3 linked regions of the Medicago truncatula genome follow. The protein of the gene in region 3 interacts with the protein of the main gene of each other region in a biochemical or structural test. Links are inferred from orthologs where the notes say so. Each region holds a gene or a part of one and is shown on either strand. Other genes may lie near its edges. The genes, in order: nucleoside diphosphate kinase 2, chloroplastic; protein FAR-RED ELONGATED HYPOCOTYL 1; phytochrome A.

Evidence for each region.
Region 1: the proteins of phytochrome A (region 3) and nucleoside diphosphate kinase 2, chloroplastic form a complex in vitro, tested with the Arabidopsis thaliana proteins (2 studies listed by BioGRID). The link is inferred for Medicago truncatula from reciprocal best matches to the Arabidopsis thaliana genes PHYA and NDPK2.
Region 2: the proteins of phytochrome A (region 3) and protein FAR-RED ELONGATED HYPOCOTYL 1 form a complex in vitro, tested with the Arabidopsis thaliana proteins (2 studies listed by BioGRID, with this or other methods). The link is inferred for Medicago truncatula from reciprocal best matches to the Arabidopsis thaliana genes PHYA and FHY1.

Annotation. Positions count from the first base shown.
Region 1 is NC_053045.1:50,982,510-50,989,702, forward strand, and holds the start of nucleoside diphosphate kinase 2, chloroplastic, read left to right. Parts: upstream 1-4,159; 5' UTR 4,160-4,242; coding exon 4,243-4,479; intron 4,480-4,590; coding exon 4,591-4,647; intron 4,648-4,755; coding exon 4,756-4,842; intron 4,843-6,436; coding exon 6,437-6,517; intron 6,518-6,604; coding exon 6,605-6,717; intron 6,718-6,850; coding exon 6,851-6,900; intron 6,901-7,193. Other genes in the region: GRAS family protein RAD1, read left to right, coding at 1,104-2,609. UniProt on the Arabidopsis thaliana protein: Major role in the synthesis of nucleoside triphosphates other than ATP. The ATP gamma phosphate is transferred to the NDP beta phosphate via a ping-pong mechanism, using a phosphorylated active-site intermediate. May activate MPK3 and MPK6.
Region 2 is NC_053048.1:29,068,610-29,076,125, forward strand, and holds protein FAR-RED ELONGATED HYPOCOTYL 1, read right to left. Parts: upstream 2,788-7,516; 5' UTR 2,571-2,787; coding exon 2,527-2,570; intron 1,556-2,526; coding exon 1,038-1,555; intron 904-1,037; coding exon 824-903; 3' UTR 515-823; downstream 1-514. UniProt on the Arabidopsis thaliana protein: Key regulator of far red / red (FR/R) spectrum-specific responses essential for the adaption to changing light conditions (e.g. de-etiolation), essentially by regulating PHYA shuttling from the cytoplasm to the nucleus and by directly regulating the expression of some target genes, depending on light conditions and phosphorylation status.
Region 3 is NC_053042.1:41,897,624-41,904,680, reverse strand, and holds the start of phytochrome A, read left to right. Parts: upstream 1-4,038; 5' UTR 4,039-4,481; intron 4,482-4,991; 5' UTR 4,992-5,002; coding exon 5,003-7,057. UniProt on the Arabidopsis thaliana protein: Regulatory photoreceptor which exists in two forms that are reversibly interconvertible by light: the Pr form that absorbs maximally in the red region of the spectrum and the Pfr form that absorbs maximally in the far-red region.

The sequences.
Region 1 (7,193 bases), on a different chromosome or scaffold from region 3:
TGATTAAAAGTATATGTTTAGATAATATTTTTATTTTTTTGAGGGATATATTTAGATAAATAGATAATAGATATTTTACGCTTTTATATTATAACAAACTATATTTATCTTTTTCAATGATACTAACAATGTAACAAATACAATATAAATTATTATCTTTTTGAATAACACTAAGAAAATAACATATTAATAGTTAAATTTATTTTAGAGTATTATTAAAAGTAAAAAAGACAACCAAAACCATGTATTTTTTCTTGTATACAATGTAGATGTTGGAATGCCGGGAGAATATATGTGTACAATGTTGGAATCCGGGGGAGTATATGTAGTTTTACAAGGACTGAGAGAGTACATTAGTAGCTATTACGTCACTGGACGAGAAATTACGTATGCCCCAAACCCTGTGTAGACGCGGTTCTTTTGTTGACCATGACAACAGCGACAAAAATAAACGTTATTTAACTGCCAACAAATTATGCTGTACTATTTTATTATCATTGTACCAAGGAAAAAAAATTATAATAATAAATAATACAATTACATCTCTAATTTCCTTTACATCTCTATTTAACACCTCATTTTATCTCTCTGTCTCTCTTTCTGTTACATCAACAATATAATTGAACGTCACTCTATTATCTCTTTCTTTTTCACGATGTCAAAGAGTTTTAGATGTCCACCTATCTTTTCTCTGAGAAATTATGCTTTACCAACTAATTAGTATAACCTCATGCATGCCGTTTGTCAAATTCCAATATCCTGGGAGCGGAAACAATGCGCTCTTGAGATTCCCTTATTCATCAAAATTCAATTTAATTTGCTATGCTATATTTCAACGTCAACAAGAGAAGTTGACAGCATATGTTACGTACTCTAATTTTGTACCAAAATATTATAATAAAGCAAACCTTGTTATTAACGTCAACAAGGTAATTTTTGCTATAAATTGTCCATCATTTGTATGTACGTTCTTTCAGAGCTTTGTTGAATATCTTTAGAAAGCAAACTTATAAAGTGTTATAGACATTAATTGAGAAATTAATATGTCACCTGCACTTTATGCTAGTACCTTCAAATGTGAGGTAGATGAAAATCCATCATTAATGGGTTCTTACTATGCTTCTTTATATCCAAATTTGCCTATTTTAGAAAACAGTGCTACTTCAACATGGATCCTTAATCCATTTTCTGATCATGAAACTGAAACCATTAGGGATCACAAGAAATTGAAAAGATCAACCGTAACTATCCCTATTTGGTTTGCTAATTTCAGCAGCCATAGTAATAGTTTCTTCAATAACATCAACAGCAATAACAACAGTGTGAATAGCATTCCAAGGCTTCATTTCAGAGATCACATAAGAACTTATAAACAAAGATATTTTGCTTCTGAAGCTGTTGAAGAAGCAGCAGAAGATAACTTCAACTACAATAATTGCGAAGCTGAAGAAGATGGTTCATGTGCTGATGGAATGAGACTAGTTCAACTTCTAATTGCATGTGCTGAAGCTGTCGCGTGTCGCGATAAATCACACGCTTCGGTTTTACTATCTGAGCTTAAATCAAATGCTTTGGTGTTTGGTTCTTCGTTTCAAAGAGTTGCTTCTTGTTTTGTTCAAGGACTCACAGAGAGACTAACTCTGATTCAACCAATTGGTAATAACTCTGCTGGATCAGATACAAAATCAATGATGAACATAATGGATGCTGCATCAGAAGAAATGGAAGAAGCATTCAAGTTGGTTTATGAAAATTGTCCACATATTCAATTTGGACATTTTGTGGCTAATTCCATAATATTGGAAGCCTTTGAGGGTGAGAGTTTTCTTCATGTGGTTGATCTTGGCATGAGCCTTGGTCTTCCACATGGACACCAATGGCGAGGACTAATTCAAAGTCTCGCGGATCGATCCAGCCACCGTGTTCGGAGGCTTAGGATCACAGCGATTGGTCTATGCATTGCTAGAATCCAAGTCATTGGTGAAGAACTCTCAATTTACGCGAAAAACTTGGGGATTCATTTGGAATTCTCAATTGTTGAGAAGAATTTGGAGAATTTGAAACCTAAGGACATAAAAGTGAATGAAAAAGAGGTCCTTGTGGTTAACAGCATTCTTCAATTGCATTGTGTTGTTAAAGAGAGTCGTGGCGCTTTGAATGCGGTTTTACAAATGATACACGGTCTTTCACCGAAAGTGTTGGTTATGGCTGAGCAAGATTCTGGTCATAATGGACCTTTTTTCCTTGGAAGGTTTATGGAATCATTGCATTATTATTCTGCTATTTTTGACTCATTGGATGCTATGCTGCCAAAGTATGACACTAAGAGGGCAAAAATGGAACAGTTTTATTTTGCTGAGGAGATAAAGAACATTGTGAGCTGTGAAGGACCATTGAGGATGGAGAGGCATGAGAAAGTTGATCAGTGGAGGAGGAGAATGAGTAGGGCTGGATTTCAAGGTTCACCTATTAAGATGGTGGTTCAAGCTAAGCAGTGGCTTGTGAAGAATAATGTTTGTGATGGATATACTGTTGTGGAAGAGAAAGGGTGTTTGGTTCTTGGATGGAAATCAAAGCCTATTGTTGCAGTTTCTTGCTGGAAATGCTGAATGACCTCTTTTTAGTTCTGTCAATAAATAACAGTTCTGTGAGAAGCTGTTATATGTGTTTGAATAATTTGTTTTTGTGTGCATGTTGTGAATTTAAGACCCTATATTAGTAGCTTGTGAAAGTACTGAAATATTTAGGGCGAGAATAAAACTTTTGATGTAATTCTGTGTGTGGTGTGGCTGCTTGAGATGGAGCAGAAATAAAGTGATGACTAATTATTGTTGTGTGCATAACATGTGTAGGAGTTTGATGAGATGTAAATCCTACTAACATTTATTTGATTCAATTTTTCAATGAACTTAATAATACTCTCTCCAAAAAATTCCTGTATTTGTTGGTTAATGTTGGCCATTTATTTCATGTAGGTATATGTATATCCAAGCCTATCTTTTAGCACTAAGTTCATTCAATTTTTTTTTTTGTTTGAAGGGAATTTCATTCATATTTGTGTTCTAAAACACAATGTACTAGAAAAAGAGTTCATTATGGATAGCATGGCCTGAGGTGGCCAAGAGTGGAGGGGCTGCAAATGCAGAGTGTGATAGAGGAATGTGGGCATATCCGCAAAATATACCTCAAAGGTGCATTGGTAAAATAAATTTTAGACAATTTTCATATTTGTCATTATATATTATCTTTAAAATAAAATGATAAAATGCCAAATTTAATAATTTAAATATTGATATAATGTTTCCCTAAAAAAGTCTATTGATATAATGTTAAAATGGTAGCATTTATATACAAAACATGTACTCGCTTTGTCGCTCTTATCTCGTTAGTCGTTACTTCTTCCTTCGCCTAAACTAGTCGTATTTCTAAGCTTTGTTTGAGAGTTTGGAGGGGAGGGGAGGGGAGTGTTTTGAGGGATGAGAAATATATATAAAAATGAAGAAATTTTTCACTTTTTTTTTTAAAGAGAACTAATGTTTATGATTAATACATTTTTAATTTTAAAAATATTAGTATAACAACAAATATTGAATTTGAAAAATTCATATAAACACTCCAAATCCCTTCCTCAATGCATTTTTTTTTTCTTCAGTTCTTTAAAATTATAAGAATTATATGTTATGAATAAAAATTAACCCCAATATCTTCTTTTTCATTCCTTTTTATTCAAAACACTCCCCTCCCCTCCAACCTCTAAAAAAAAAAACCGTAAGTTAATCTCAATTCTTTCAATTGATTGAGAAATTTATTTAATAATAAAAAAGAATTTGTAAAGAGAAACTATCATCTATTGACAAGTGGTAAATTCTGTAAATAAAAAAAAAAAAAAGACAAGTGGTAAATTCATGAATTTAGTGTCTAACTTTTTTGAAAAGGATAATAATCAAATCAACTTGATATTAATAATAATTAATTGAAGTAGACAGAAGAATTTGTAATTACATTCTTTCTTTCCTTGTTAAAAAATTACATTATTTTTTTCTAAAAAAAACAATTTTTGTATCATTTTTTTCTCGATAATCTTTTGATTTTTATCATTATATTAAAAAAAAAAAAAAAAAAAACAGTAGTATAGTTTAAAAATTACCAAAGTCGCTTTCTTTCTGACTTGCCACATCCAAATCCAAACTCCAAAGAACATCGTTGTTCCACAGCCGCGACGCAAAGAGAGGAAGAAGAGAAATGGAAGCCATGGGCGTGTTTTGCGGAACCAATAGTATCTATGTCACATCCTCTCAATTACGCACCTCAAACACAAACACAAGAAGCTCTCAATTACGCACCACCCAACACCTTTCTGCATTTCCTTCTAAATCCCATCTTTTTTCATCTTCTACTTCTTCTTCCTATGCCAAAACCATCCGCACTAAAAGCTCCACCAATACCGGCATTTTCCTTCCCCACTTAATTGCTTCTCTCGTATGTTCTCTTTTTCTACTCGCCAATTTGCTCAATTTATTATCACTCTGTGTGTGTAATTCTATATATATATATATATATATATTTTTTTTTTTTTTAATGTTTGTGCAGGAACAAGTTGACCGAACTTATATTATGGTGAAACCCGATGGCGTGCAACGTGGTCTTGTAAGTCTCTTAATTTCATATGTTCTGGTTTCAGACATTAAGGGATGAAACAAAAATTAAAAAATTGAAGTTTAAGGTTATAATTGTTGTTTTGTTGAATTGGTTTAGGTGGGTGAAATTATTTCTAGGTTTGAGAAGAAGGGGTTTAAGTTAATTGGCTTGAAGCTCTTTCAATGCTCTAAAGAATTAGCTGAGGTTTGTCTACTTTCTTCAATACTTGCTTGTTTGTATATCCATGATGTCTTATGCTCAATTTATTTTTCTTGCTGTATATGGGGTTCAATTTGTAAAGGAGAATGACAGGGTTCAATATATTACATTGATATAAATACTATCTATTATTAATATGATGGGCTGCTTAACCTAATTGTGCTTTTCATAATAATAAAAATCATCTATAAGATTATTGACTCTTATTAAATAGAGCAGTAAAATGAGAAGATTGCTTTCTCAATTAGCAAACTTATTGATTACACAGTATACGCTAAATATCTTTTAAGATACTCCAAGATATACCATAGTGATGTATTGTTAACACTCTCCCTCTAAGGTATAGCTTGTTATTGTTAATCTTTAAGTTATCCGGAGAGACACTCTTGTTAGGGTGATGCAGTTGCAAGGGTGTTCAATTGGAGAGGAGGTAAATAGGATTTCAAGTAAAGCCAATCTGCATAAAAGACAAGACCTAAATAAAATCAATCTGCGTAACAAGATGGAGTAGAGCCAACACGCTCTAAGATAGGTATAAAGTAGTCGATCTGTGGTGAGAAGGGGATTGGAACAGAGTTAATTAAACAGCTTTAAAACTAGCCGGAGCAGAGCAAAAAGAGATCAAACATGAATGTCAGGGTCTGGTTCCATAAACTTGATAGTACAAGAAAGTCTCTTCAAGATGGATACCATGGCCTAATTATGGGTTTTAGGTAGGGAAGGACAAAAAGAGAGACAGGAGACCTGTAGTAATCTATTAATTTGGTATGATGTATGATGCAAAATATTAACTCAATGTCCTATTAACCCTAATTAAATGAAGAAAAGCACTAAGAGTATTGCTTTCTCAACTAGAATCCATGACATATTGTGAAGTTCATTGAAGGTATTCTCTGTATTTTAGAACTATTCTGAATATGTTTCCATAAAAGTATTGAGTATAGTTGCATGAAATGTCACAATATCAGGTGCTTGAGTAACTAATTCCAACCATCCAGTTACAAAATCCAATTGTATCCATATTTTCATGGTTGCTTACTACTCCCTCCGGTCCTTTATACAAGAAACAAAAAACATAAAACATCAACACCAAGAAATTACATTGAAAATAGTCATCTTCATTTAATACACTTCTACATTTAAAATAATTCTATGAATACCCTTAAATTAATTACTCTTTATTCCATCAACTTACTTACTTTTAATATTCTCTCTCATAATCAATAAGGGCACAAATGAAATTTAGCTTCAAACATATTTGAAACTTGATCAATCTTCTTATAAAAAGGACCAAAAAAATTCTCACTTTTGTTTCTAATAAAAAGGACCGGAGGTAGTATTTTTTTTGGTGGTGGCCGGGGTTTGAACCTCAGACCTTGCATATATTATGCATTGTCCATACCAACTGAGTTAAGCTCACGAGGACCATGGTTGCTTACTATACCAATATGATATAGAGTATAGACCTACATCTTATGTTTGCAATAATGTTGGTTCAGTTTGTGATGTTTGTCTTATGTTCAACTGTTAATTTGCTATTTACACATGGATGGCTTATTGTGACTGTTTATGGTTTCAGGAGCATTACAAGGACCTAAATCAAAGGTCTTTCTTCCCTAAGCTGAGTGAATATATTACTTCGGGCCCCGTTGTGTCTATGGTATAACTCTTTCCACTAGTATCCCATTTTCAATGAGGGTTTCACAGTATACCTGTTGAATGTACTTTCTGGTTTTATGTTTGCAAGGCTTGGGAGGGTGTTGGAGTAGTGCCATCAGCACGTAAGCTTATAGGAGCAACAAATCCTCTGCAAGCAGAACCAGGCACAATAAGAGGAGACTTTGCTGTTGAAACAGGAAGGTAAGGACTTTTCACATCTGATTTGTGAATTTTGTGAGCCTTGGTCAAGAATCAAAATAAGATTCATAGGGTGTGTTTTTCTGGTTGATTTGAGGATGTGGACTGACAAGATCTTATGATGAACTTTTGGCAGGAATGTTATCCATGGCAGTGACAGCCCTGAAAATGGCGAGCGTGAAATAGGTAAGGCCTCTTATAGTATCAGGATTCAGTTTAACCCAATAAATGCAACAAAAAGGATTGTGGATTGCAAAAGAGAATATCATTGTGTGCCGTTAATTTATATATTAGCAGGTTTAAAGAGTATTACAAATACAAAATAAAGCTTTAAATTTCATTTGTTGTTTTAAGCATTTGTCCTGGAAACAACCTTGGTGCAAGGTAAAGTTGTTGTCACGTGACTGAAAGGTCACGGGTTCAAGTCCAGGAAACAACCTCTTGTGTAAGAAACACGGTAAGGCTGCACCAAAATGGTG
Region 2 (7,516 bases), on a different chromosome or scaffold from region 3:
ATGACAGGAACAATACAAGATCAAGCTCAATCACTCTAATTTTCTTTTCACAAAGTTGAGTTTATCTCACCCTTCACATTCTCCACATAGAGATATGCAATACAATTTATATAACCCCTTGAAACAAGCTGCAACTGAGAACAAAATAATGTAAAAACTTGTAACTAACTGCAACAAACTCTCAGAAGATGCAACATCTATATGTTTCAATTCTAGTTTATGTGATTGTATAAAAAGTTGCTCAAAATTCTAAATTAAATTCCAAATTTCAAAGAAGTTTGTTTATATCTTACTATAGACTCCAATTCATTTTAGTGCAGATACTCACAATTTTTACTTTAACATGATAATCTGAAAGATTATATACTACACAATAACCAAAAAAAATTTCAAATAATTTTCATTTATTCTTCTGCACATTGTCCACATTAAAATCTAGTAGAAGATAATTCGAGAAGTACAGCATCATCAAGGAAATTAATGCAGAAGGAAAATAATGCAGCAAACAGAGATGTGGGAAGGCCAGAAGAAGAAATCTTGAACTACCTTCTGAAAAGGTGAAAATCTTCATACAAGTAATATATACAACTTCCATTGTCAGAATCAGCGGTGTCAAATAGTGGCTATAGTTGCGCTATAGCGTATCAGATTTTGAACAAATTGTTATTGTTCTGCAACACACTAGTTTGTACAAAGTGTTGTTAAATAACAGCGTTATAGCACTGTAGTATAGCAGAATTTGAAGAAACCGCTATTTTCTGCATTCCACAATTGACAACACTGGTCAGAATTATATATAGATCTACCCCCTAAATAATTTCTGCTAGAGCATAAGTGCGGAAAAGTACTCCTCAAATTCTTGATCAATTGTCGGCGGCGGCGGCTTTGTACTTGATTCAGCTTCTGCATTTAAAACATTATCAAATGTGAGCCTAACATTTACTAACCGGAATTGTTTATCAAAGGCATGCAATTAACCAAGAAACTAATTTCACAAGTTCTAGCATGATCCTATCTCTCTCATATATAATGCATACCTTCGTTTAGTAACAATCGTCCAGATGAAAGGACATACTTGTCAGGATTCACGCCATTAGAAAAAAGAAAATCTTCAAATTCCTTATCTATAGATTGATCATCACCGCTGTCTTTAACATACTCTGCATATACCTGAAGATGCTCCTCCGGATTTTTGAATGCTTGTGAATCAAGATCATCATAGGATGAATATGTATTTGCACTATCTGCCTCAAGTTTGGCTTCTTCATTTATAGACATGGAAGTATCAGAGTCTTCAATAAAACTATTACTATCTTTGGCAGATTCGGGTTCGGATCTATCATCGAGGAACGCAACATCCATTCTGCTATTAACCGTGTGGTTGTTCGCACTACCAAAAATTGGACTTTCATCAGACATTGATGTATCTTCTGAAGAGAAACTCTCAACCCGGCATTTATGTTTTGGTCTAAGCATATCTAACTGAAAACCCTGTAATTTTCTTTTCTTGTTCCATTCAATAATGTTGATGTCATGCATTTCATCAACATGGAATCTGGAAACAGTTTTTGAAAAATGTCAGTTGAAAAGAAGAAAAAAGATAAATCATGACAATAATATAACAAATAATGGAATGAACATTTTACAACTTTCTCATCAGGGATTTGAACTTCGTCCCTTTAGGTTATAAAGTCAAACTCTTACCACGGAAGTGAGACCTCATAGACAAGATTTTTATTCAACTAACTTTTAACTCAGTTTAATCATGGAAGATCATTCCTTAACCTACAACTTTTCCTATGCTAAAATCAATTTATCAAGCGTGCGCTATGCATCGACAAACAAACAAAATAAGTGCACAACTGAGACAAGTCTTGCACGATGTTCAAACTTGTTTTCACCTTGATCAATAAGTGTTATTATTAGATCAAACGATATATGATGAGACATATTGATACAATGGTGAAAAACAAATCCGTGCATAATGCAAGAGTAATTTAATTGTGCACATTAGACAAAGCCAGTAAAACCCTATTAGCTTCTTTTGTGACTTATTGTGATCTGAAAACAAATAATAGCACCTCTAACTAGAAAAGTTCAATAAACTGAAAAAAATAAAATATGGTAATCTACAAACTTTCTTAGGAAGTAATCTAATTAGTGTGTCAAATGAAAAACTTAATCACTAATCATTTGAAGCATAAATGACAAACCAGAACATAAAGGTACCAAAAAAATGTGAATTTACAAGAGTCTCATATCAGACAAAAGATGGTATGAACATGTGTTTATGAGCCGTGACAATTCTCATCTCACAAGCCGGTTTTGTAGGGTTGTGTAGGATCCAACGATAGTTTCTAACATTTTCAAAATTCCACTACTATGAATTACAATACCAAATTGGATAAGATAAAGATAAACAATATCATCAAATCTATGACATATAATACAAGAAAAAGTAAAACAAACAGTGATTAAACACAGTAAAAAAACAAGAAAAATCTTGAACACCCCAGATGGAAAAACCTGTTAACTTGAGAAGGGATCTTTGTTCTTGCTTCAATCTCCATGAGTAAAACCAAGGACTGTGATGAAAAACCAAAACTAGACAAGGTTCTTGAGGTTGAGAGAAAGTGGAAAGGAAAAGTTACTTTAAGGATGCCATGCTGAGAATATCCGAGAATTTATCACCCACACTTTGCTCTGTCTTCTTGTTGTTTATTACCAAAATAGTGTCCATGGCGCGTGAGTTGCACATTTTTTAGGTTGGACTTTGGAGCAATTTCACGTGGGAAAGTATGGTTGAGGATAGGGTTTGATGGCCACTTGTTAGTTGTAAACATGGTGACGTGTGAGTTGTTCATGTGCAATGTAGTGATGAGTGTTAAATCATCTCTTATAATTTAAGGTTAATATATGTTTGCCTCCCATAAAAAATATGAGCAATGATATATGAACATCATTTTGATACAATCAACAACTCTTTTGCAATTTTTAAATATATTTTTAATGATTTTGATTTGCGTGCTTCTCACATTATCAAAGGGTGTTGCATTAGTTGTTCAATTTTGGTTGTACATATAATACAACTCTAAAAATATTTCTGTAGATTTTTTTTAAGCGACTTAATAGCTGGAGCTCACACATTTTAAATATGGATAAATAGGGTGTCAGAGGTTCGAATCCATACCCCTGCATAAATTATGCAATGTTCCTACCAATTGAATTAAGCTCACGGAGACAAATTTCTTTAGATTTCAACTCTGCAATTTGAAGATTATTTAGCTTTGGACTTTTATGATATCAAATTATAAAATTTAAAGTATTTTTATCCTCCTTGTAATTTGAGAGAATTTTGGTTTATCACATGTCATATCATGATTTTGTACAGTCAAAATTCATAAAGGTTCAAAAACACATAATCTTCAAATTACATTGTTGGAATCTAAAGAATTTTTTTTATAGGAAGATAAACCAGAAACTACTAATATTATAGAGAATAAACATATATTTATAATTTAACCAAATGTTCTGAGATTGAATCCAATAAAAAAAATGCAGAAATGTTAAATTTTTGAAAATTAGTTTTGTTATTTACTGGGGTCTTCTTGAATCTATTTAGTTGTGCACATATCATATATGATTCACACAAATATTTTAAGTTTGATCCCATAATCACGACTTAGATAGTAATTCTATGGATATTTGATATATTGAAACTTAGTTTATTGAATGTGAGTTTTGTCATTAAATTATTTGAAAAAACCACTCCCTTTGTATTAAAATAATCAAGTTATTTGTAAAAAGAAAAAAAATTCTCCTCAAATAAATGATTCATTTTACTTTTCAAAACAATATTAATTACTTTTTTTTTTCAATTATACTTCTAATTAATACTACTAACTTTATCACTCTAATTCAATACTTCGTATTTTGCATTTATGATAATTGTAAATGTATCAATACTCGACAAAAACATTTAAAACGATTTTAACTTCTTTCACTTATATATTTTTCTTAATATGTGTGAAATGATCAAATTATTAAGTTATTTTAGAAGGGCGAAGTATGTTTTATATTTTAGGTATCCATTGCATGATTTATTCTTACATTATTTAAATATAATTATAAATAAATCATTCTCACGTTGAAATAGGTGTTGACTGTCATTGAAAGCAAAAATTTGCATTTTTTAATATGAACTTCAGTGGTTAATGAACTTTATAGAAGGATTGATTGTTCAAAAGAACATGAGTTCTATTCTAAGGCAGAACAATTTTTAACCAAACTTTACTTACATTTCGATCGAATTTCGGATTGTCAAGATCCTTTTCCCTATGAACTGAAATGTTAACAAAAAAAAGGTGATGCAAGTTGTAACACCCTAATTTTCTATTTTTAATTAATTCAATGATGTTTAATAGCTGGAGTTTTGATTAATTTTATTGTTGATTGCTCTTGTGCTTGAGTATTATTTTATTGTTGAGAAAATAGAAATAATGACGTGGAGTGGGAAGTGGTTTGAGAAAATTAAATGCAACGAGGAGGAGTGTCCTAACAAAATAAATAAAGAGTCGTGGGTGTAGAAAGTAAGATTATAATAAGTGGGGGAGGGGAGAAGTAAAAGAGTAGTGTGATAGATTTTTAGTAAGTGTACTAAAAATGCATCGAAGTAATAAAATAAGTTCGTACACGAGGACTTTGTTAATCTCAATTTAGCAATATAGTAAATATTTAGGATGTATAAATTATTTTGTTTAGATTTGATTTGATGGCATAAAATTAATGACAGAAAATAAAGATTGGTTTTAAGAATAAGATAGATGAGTTTAGGTCTTTCGAATCATTGATGTTCCCCTAATTGATATACTGCATCTATTCTTATGAATGATTCACTAGTTCCACGATAATTAACCTAATATCACTAATAAAGGATTATTCATTCCTAGACTAACCATGTTTATTAGAATAATTCAATTAGGTGTAAGTCGAAAGCTAGGGTCAGTAGTCATTCGTTCTCACTAAATCATGTTTATATTTGATCAGAATATAAAAAGCATTAAGAACAATTGAATTGAATAAAAACTAGATTATCATTCACAATAAATAGAGTTTCGCAACAACATGTTTCAATTAGGGTTAAAAAGAATCATATCAGACCTAACTTCTAATGGATTTAGCTACTCATAATGGTGTTTACAAATAACATAATCATTAGAGGATTCAATACATGCATGAATTGGTAAAAGAGTGAAGAAATCGCCCTTATAGTCGTCTTGTAGTCTCAAAATCGCACCTTGCTTTATCCAAATCGTAACAAACAGCTGAATTAGGGTTTCTTAGAATCGTGTCACGTTTTTGCCATCGTGACACGTTTTTGCATTCCAGAGAACATGTTTTTGGTCTTCTCAAATCGTGTCACGTTTTTGGCAAATCGTGACACGTTTTGCTTCTTTGCATTTTCCTCAGTTTTTCTCATCTTTTTGCTGCATAATTGTGAACTCCAATTTGTGCTCAGTTTACACATAAAATTACGTAATTACGAGATGTCATCATAGTGCGTAGGAAAGGAAGACAATTATAGCGAATGGTGAGCCCAAATATAAATAGGAATATTAGGGATTAGAAATCAGTTTTTCTAATCAGAGAAAAGGGAGAAGAAAAGCAGACAGAGAGAAGCGGAACCCTAGTGCAACAACATCGAGCCAAACCGAAGGTTTCTACGGATTCGAGGTAAGGGGGAGAATCTCTTCATCTCTAGGGTTTAATATTGGCTTGTGGGGATGTAAAGGGGTTATAGTAGGAGTGTTGTTATGATGGTGATGAGAGCGTTGTTGAAGTTAATTAATTTTAAAGTTATGATTGTTGTTATGAGGAGGAGTTTCACTAAAAATTATGATGAACTGATGTAAAATTGTTGTTCAAAGAGTTTTGTTAAGATAACCTAGTTTAGAGATTATAGTTAAGACCATGACTCTGAACGAAAGTAAAATTGGATAGGTTAAGAGGGAATTAATTCTCAAACAATAGGGTAAACCTAGAGTGATAATTAGGGACAATTTGGGTGGGTAGGGATTGAGCTAAGTGAGTTAAAAGTGATTAATTGGAAGAAAACGCAATTTTGAACTGTTTTTGGTCGATTGTCTGTCAGCCAAAATCGGCCACCAATTTTGGTTCAAAATTTTAGTGTTTTGATTCGACAAAAATCGGGCCCCGATTTTGGAAATTCGGTCCCCGATTTTGTCAGCCCAACTTAACAAATAAAAACTGTTTTGTTTAACCATTTTCCGTTTTGAACTGGGTTTTGGTGTAAACACAAAAGTTGTAGGTATATGTCTTAGCTTTCCAATGGCTTTGGTCTCACCTCAAGAAGACATCCAAAACGTTAGTTAAGATCGAAATACTACACAGGGGTCAGCACGGTCAAGCGATCTGCCTAGGTTCAGGGAAGCCAATCTTTCCACGCTTCTCTGTACATAATTGGATTTAGGTTTATTCATGAAAGATGTAGATAAAGGTGTTAGATTTAATTTACCATTGGATGGAATCCATTAGTCCCTCTAGAACTTGAGTTATGATTTAAACACCGCACCTGGATCATGATACGTTGTTAATGAAATTTCAGTACAATCCTTTTAGTGGAATCTTCAACATCTATAAAAATAGTAGTGATTTTAAGAAAGCCATTAGTGTGTAAAGTAAATGTAATGACCTCTAAATTACATATATAGATGAGGGAGTGTGTTCGAGCATAAGTAGAAGTGCTTACATCAAGATAATAACAAGCTTAAATATGAACCGAAGATAATTGCCTATGAGAAATTAATAATTTCAAGATAACTTGGAAATAGGAAGTGAAAGATAATATGGATGACGCTACGAGGAATATTAGTAGAGAGGTAAACACTTAAATTAGAATGGAGAATAGGGTATATTATTAGAATGAAAGAGGTAGTAATGGAGAGAACGAATGATGAGAGTAGATTCCAAATTTAGTAATGAATAACAAAGGAATGTGATGTGTACATATGTTCGTGTAAGATGTTGTTTACTGATGAGAGGTTACTGTCGTATATATGATGAAGATATATGTTGAGATGACAATTTTTGAATGAAGATGATGAATGATGTAATAAATGATGTTTGTGAATGACGAGTAATACCGATGTCATATCTTGTTTAGGGTGACAAATAAATGATTAAGTGGGTTATGTTGCGAGTAGGAGTTAAAACATTGGACAATGTCAGTGGTGAAAATAATAGAGAGAAAAGATATCTAGTTAACTAAGGTTTACAAGATGAGACTTCAATAGAGCAAATAGTGTGGGTACGTGGTGAGTCTAAAAACACATGATTTAGTGAAAGGGGTATAAGACGATCATAAAAGTGGATATGAAGTAGGTGCTTTTCTGAGTAATTGATGAGGTTATACATAATCTCCTTAAGCCAATAATGAGTTTAGCAATACCATTAAGTGAAAGAGTAAAAGAGTCAAGGTAGTTAAAGAACTTAAGAT
Region 3 (7,057 bases):
CACTATTTACAACTTCCAACCAACAACTTTTAACATTGTATTAACAAGAATACAATGAATAGAGCTTATTTGTGGCCATTTCTTTTTTATTTATTAGGATAAGAGTGGATGGGAGGAATGTTTGAGAATTTAGATGATTTGCCCACTCTCTCTTGGACGACAAAGGTTATAGCTGCTGGCTAGTAAGCTACCATATGGCAATGTTGATCCCGTATGTTACTGTTTATAAATCATGATGTGTCTTAATTTTATTATTTGAAAGAGATGTGTCTTAATGCATTTATACTTGGAAAATGACATAGATGACTGGTGGATGATCCCGGAAAATTGACTTTGTTCTGCTTATAATTTGACTTGATACCAGTAAACGATTATACTACTATTGTTCATTTGGATTTTGGATTAGTCGACCTTTGAAGTTTCAAAAAAGAAAATAACCGTCTTGCTAAAGTCGTTATCATCAAAACTAGTACGTACCTTTATCCATTAATTGGTTGTCGTCTTGTCGATAATAGTAGTTATCATGGGCGAATTACTAACGACCTTGACGTTATTACTTTTTAGGTTCGTTAAATAAATGATGTATGTGATCTATATTAAAGGTCACATACATCACTTATTTAATGAATTTAAAAAGTAATTTTTTTCCTTTTAATTGTGACTGAAGAGAATACTTTTTTTTATTCATCGGTTCTTGCATTTACCTATCACATTTTGCTACCAACATTCAATTTTATTGTCACTTAAAAAACATTGAATTTTTGTATTGTGATGTGGATTAATTCCTGTCAGTCCCATTTCTTTTTTGATGAATCTAAGTAAATTTCACCAAATCAATAATTTAACTTCCTTTACATTCTTTTTTAGTTTCACAATATAAAGGTTGTGATTTTGAATTTAATTTAAAGACTGATCTAATATTTCTTTTTGTCCATAAAATGAGTGGTAAACGTCATCTAAACATTTTTGTTTAACAAACAAAAATGAGATATATTACCACAATGAAACGGTTCTACTATCTAGCACAAGGAGTGCATAGAAGAGCAGAACAAAAAACAACAAGCATCTTGAATAGTACAAAAAAAGACAGTCAACCAATGCCCAAACATGCAAGAGGTTGCTGCCACCACAAATGGTAACCAAAAGGAAAACAAACTTTTTTGGCTTTCAGCCAATTCCATGAAGTAATTTTGACCTTTTCCATGAGCTGCATAATAGATGTTAATTTGTTGGAAAACAGTCTGTTATTCCTTTCAGTCCAAAGCACATAAACCGTGAATAACCAAATAAGCTGCAAAAACGATCGTCGGATCGGGGTTTAAAACCTCCCGAAGAGTAAGCAAATTGGTGAAAATGATCCATAATATGTTGGGGATCCACCGTATCCACTCAAATCCAAGTTTTTACATGATGCCATAACTCACCAAAAGTCGGGCAGTGAATTAAAAGGTGATTTGTTGTTTCGTTATTACCACAACCGAACACACATAAATGAGAATCAAACGGAATAATACCACGTCGCACCAAATTATCCTTTGTAGGCCACCTGTTGCGAAGAAGTCACCACACACAAATTGAAATCTTCAAAGGAGCATTTTTATGCCAAATTGCGTCAATAACTTCATCGTGATTATGCATCTCCTGCCTCATAAGCATTTGATACACACCACAGACTGTGTATCAATCTACCACATTAGGACGCCACTGCCATATATCAGTAGTAGTTTCCTGCAAAATAACATTAGAAAGCAAAGATATACATTCCTTCATTAGGTCCTCCTCCCAAGCCAACCACCTACGCCGCCACCCCCAAGCATCTCCACCTTCCTCCCAACCTAATAAACACATTTCCGCCACCGTCTTTTCCTTATAAACTGATAAATCAAACAACCTCCTAAACCTGTCCCTAAGTGGGACCGCCCCCACCCAACAGTCGGACCAAAAATAGGTTTTAAAGTCATCTAAACACTTACACACACAAAATATTAAGGCTAATTTAATTTATACATTGTCGATTGAGTTGGGTCACATACAAAATTGATTTGATCTAATCAATTTGAAAGGAACATACATGATTTATTCACTATATATACTCATTTATTATAAAAATAATAGGCAAAATTACTCTCATCATCCATTAAGTTAATTTGAAATAACAATTTCATTTTTTATTTTTTTCTCACGTTATTTTCGTTCTTTTGGTCAATTGGCATATAAATTTTCAAGATTCAAATCTACGATTTTATTTCGATATGAACCCTTACTCAAATATATAGTTCTTTACTCATGTTTTTTTTTTGTCAAGTAGCCTAGTAGTTAGAATTCACATTTTTCAAGGTGAATAAGTGGGGTGTCTAGGGTTCGAACTCCGGCCCTAGCATATAACAATGCATGTCCTTGTCAACTAAGTTATGCTTACGGTGACATTTTACTCATGTTTTTGTTAATAAATTTTAAATTAGTTGATCATTTTTTTAAAAAATACAATGTTTTTTAATAAAAGTCAGACGGAAATATTGATAATGAGCTGGCCCAAAGCTCAATTCAATAGACCAGCCCCATCCCATTTTTATATGGGCAAAAAATGTTCGAGTACATTTTAGATTAGCTTTTTAAACCTGTCCCAACCCAAAATGTCGATTAATGGACTGACCTATTAACTCGTCCCATTTTTTACATCTCTATTTACATAAAGATAAACAACAAGAACTTACCAAAGAAGAAATGTAAAATAAAATAAATTAAGAAACCGAATTTTTATTTTTATTTTTTATAAAAAAAAAAAAAAAAAAAAAAGGAAGAAATCTTAAAGGATAGGAAACCCGAAACCGATTAATAATGCAGTTGAGTAGTATATATGGAGGCATTTCCTTTGAGTCAGTAACGTTACAGTGGTACACGAGGCATGGGCTAATTTGATGAAAGTTTATTTATGTCAGACAGATATATTAGCTGTGAATGTGATCTAAGAGATGAATGTGATATCGAGATATAAACAGTGTCCACCAATTAAAAACAAAGGATATGATGACATGGCATTTGTGTTACTTACTTAGCCGCATATCACCAAAACTTTGAGCCTTTGCACGTGACACCCATAACTTACTCCTTTCTCCATATCCAATGTATGGGACTTGGACCCCATCCAACCAAATTCATCCACCTCATAATTAAATAAAAATTTTATTAATAAATATCTTAACTTTTTTCCACTACTTTTCTTTAGTTAGCAATTTTTTATGTTTAATTATTGTGGGTGGGGAATTAGGACTTAAAACTCAATGATTTATGAACCCTACATGTACCAAAAAAATAATTATTGAACATTGTACCAAAGTGGTGTTAAAAGAATTGACAATATGATTCTTTTTAGGAAAAGAAATTGAGTTTAACTTCTAAAATTGTTCATATAAGAGGTAACACATTTAGATAAAAATATAGATGTTTTTTTGTCGATTTGAGAATGCGGTAATACGACACGCTTACAAGTTAAATATTGTTAGAAAAGCTATCTATTTAGGAGATAGCATAATCTTGATAAAAAAAAATGCAAATACTTTATTGCGAGAGTTAAGTAATACGATGCACTTACGAGTTAAATATTGTTTGAAAAAGTCGTCTATTTAAAAGGTAGCACAATCTGATAAAAAAAACATATGTTTTATTGCGAGAATGTGGTAATACAACGCGCTTATAAGTTAAATATGGTTAGAAAAAAGTCATCTATTTAGGACGTGACACAATCCTAATAAAAAACAAATGCTTTATTGCGATAGTCCGGTAATACGACGAACTTACGAGTTACATGATTAAAAAAAAGTTAATGACCCCTATTAAAATAAATTTAAATTAAGAGCCGACATGAAATCTAAGATGGTAAGTGAATTGAGTGATGTTAGAGAAAAAGGAAGGAAAGTCAAGGAAGCAAGCAGTAACAGTAACTACCATGTTTGTTGTTTAATTAAGTGTATGTGTTATCATGCATTATTTAACTTTCTTTTTTTTCTTATCTATTTTAGGAACAAAGCCAAACAATCAACTTGCCCAAATTAGATATTTTTTTACATATACTATTATAATAATAAAAACAGCACCAAGTAGATGGATGCTGGTGTGATGAGTGAATCTATCTAAGTGTTGGATGATGATTTGATTTTTATATTCTTTATTTATCTTTATTCATTTCATTCCTTCCCATCTTCACATGGGGGGCACCATAAAAAATTGATATATTATATAGTATTTATGGCATGATGGCGGTCCCTTCTCAGTCACAATTGTGTGCTGAATTATACTGACCTTGCTTGGTTGGAGTTGTGAAGTAGAGGCTCCAGCTGGGTGGGAGACAAACAAGGGCGGTGCTTGCTGCTGCTGCTGCAGGTGCAGGGTATGGTATGGTAGTCACATACAATTGGTTATTTTAACCCTTCCTTTCTTGTACTTACTCTTTCACATCAACCAAGTTTTTCCCTTCCAACAAGGTTAGTTAGTTGTTATTTGTTCTTGTCTTGTTGAATTTGCTTCATGTGTTTCTGTTTTGTAAAAGGAAAGAGATACAATTGTTTGATGATTGTAATGATGGATTTGTTTCTGACTTGTTTGGTGTCATCATTGTTTATAGAATCAACTGACAGTACTAATCAATTTTTTTCTGAAAGTTATGATTATTAATGATTACAACCAATTTTTATACTGTCATCTTTCACTTGATGTGTGAGTTTTGTTTATTTTCTTCTATGATTGGGTCACAACTCAAATTATAACTAATTAAAACCTTACATAATTGTTAGTATTATGATTGAGAGTGCTGATTGAACCCTTAACATGTTTTATGAGGAGAGTTACAATTACAAAGATTGACATTCAAGTAAATTAGTAATAGACTTCAAAAGTTCTGCAGTATCACATATGCTCAGTGATGATTCTTATATGGTTTGGATTAACTCGGTAGTTATGTTGTTGTTTTTTTTTTTTAATCATTGTAAATGCAGTTTGTGATAAAATGTCGACCACAAGGCCTAGCCAATCATCCAACAACTCAGGGAGATCAAGAAATAGTGCTAGGATTATTGCTCAGACGACGGTAGATGCAAAACTTCATGCAACTTTTGAGGAGTCTGGTAGTTCCTTTGACTACTCAAGTTCGGTGCGCGTCTCTGGCTCAGTTGATGGAGAGCATCAACCGAGGTCCAACAAAGTAACAACAGCTTACCTCAATACAATACAAAGAGGCAAGCAGATCCAGCCTTTTGGTTGCTTGCTAGCTTTAGACGAGAAAACGTGCAAGGTTATTGCATACAGTGAGAATGCACCCGAAATGCTGACCATGGTGAGTCATGCTGTCCCTAGTGTCGGTGACCACCCTGCCCTTGGCATTGGAACTGACATAAGAACTATCTTCACCGCACCGAGTGCTTCTGCGCTACAGAAGGCACTGGGATTTGCGGAGGTTTCGCTTCTTAACCCTATCCTTGTTCATTGCAAGACTTCTGGGAAGCCATTTTATGCGATCATTCACCGTGTTACAGGTAGTTTGATCATTGACTTTGAGCCAGTGAAGCCTTACGAAGTTCCCATGACTGCAGCAGGCGCATTACAGTCTTACAAACTTGCTGCTAAAGCAATTACAAGATTGCAATCTTTGCCTAGTGGCAGCATGGAAAGGCTTTGCGATACAATGGTTCAAGAAGTTTTTGAACTAACGGGTTATGACAGGGTGATGGCTTATAAATTTCACGAGGATGATCATGGGGAGGTGATTGCTGAGGTAACAAAGACAGGCCTAGAGCCATATCTAGGATTGCACTATCCGGCCACAGATATTCCCCAGGCTGCGCGCTTTTTATTTATGAAGAACAAGGTCCGTATGATAGTTGATTGTCACGCAAAACATGTGAAGGTTCTTCAAGACGAAAAACTCCCATTTGATTTGACTTTGTGTGGTTCGACCTTAAGGGCCCCACATAGTTGCCATTTGCAGTATATGGCTAACATGGATTCAATTGCTTCCTTGGTTATGGCTGTAGTAGTCAATGACAGCGATGAAGATGGAGATAGCGCTGATGCAGTTCTCCCACAAAAGAAAAAGAGACTTTGGGGTTTGGTAGTTTGTCATAACACTACACCAAGGTTTGTTCCTTTTCCTCTAAGGTATGCTTGTGAATTTCTGGCTCAAGTATTTGCCATCCATGTGAACAAAGAAATAGAATTAGAATTTCAGATTCTTGAGAAGAATATCCTGCGCACACAGACGCTGTTGTGCGATATGCTGATGCGAGATGCACCCTTAGGTATTGTATCACAAAGCCCTAATATAATGGATCTAGTGAAATGTGATGGGGCTGCACTCTTGTATAGAAACAAGTTATGGATATTAGGAGCGACGCCGAGTGAACCTCAGATAAGAGAGATAGCTTTATGGATGTCCGAGTACCATACGGATTCGACTGGTTTGAGTACGGATAGCTTGTCTGATGCAGGGTTTCCAGGGGCTCTTAAACTTAATGATACTGTATGTGGAATGGCAGCTGTTAGAATAACTTCAAAAGACATAGTTTTCTGGTTTAGGTCGCACACCGCTGCAGAAATCCGATGGGGTGGTGCAAAGCATGAACCTGGCGAACAGGATGATGGTAGGAAGATGCATCCAAGATCATCATTTAAGGCTTTCCTCGAAGTTGTGAAGGCTAGGAGCATACCATGGAAAGACTTTGAAATGGATGCTATTCATTCGTTACAGTTAATACTGAGAAACGCGTCCAAAGATACAGATATGATTGATTTAAACTCAAAGGCAATCAATACAAGACTAAATGATTTGAAGATCGAAGGGATGCAGGAATTAGAAGCAGTGACAAGTGAGATGGTTCGATTAATTGAAACAGCAACAGTGCCTATTTTGGCAGTGGATGTTGATGGGATGGTCAATGGTTGGAATATCAAAATTTCCGAGTTGACAGGTCTTCCGGTTGGCGAAGCTATTGGAAAACATTTGCTCACACTTGTTGAGGATTCTTCAACGGATATAGTTAAGAAGATGCTTAATCTGGCACTACAG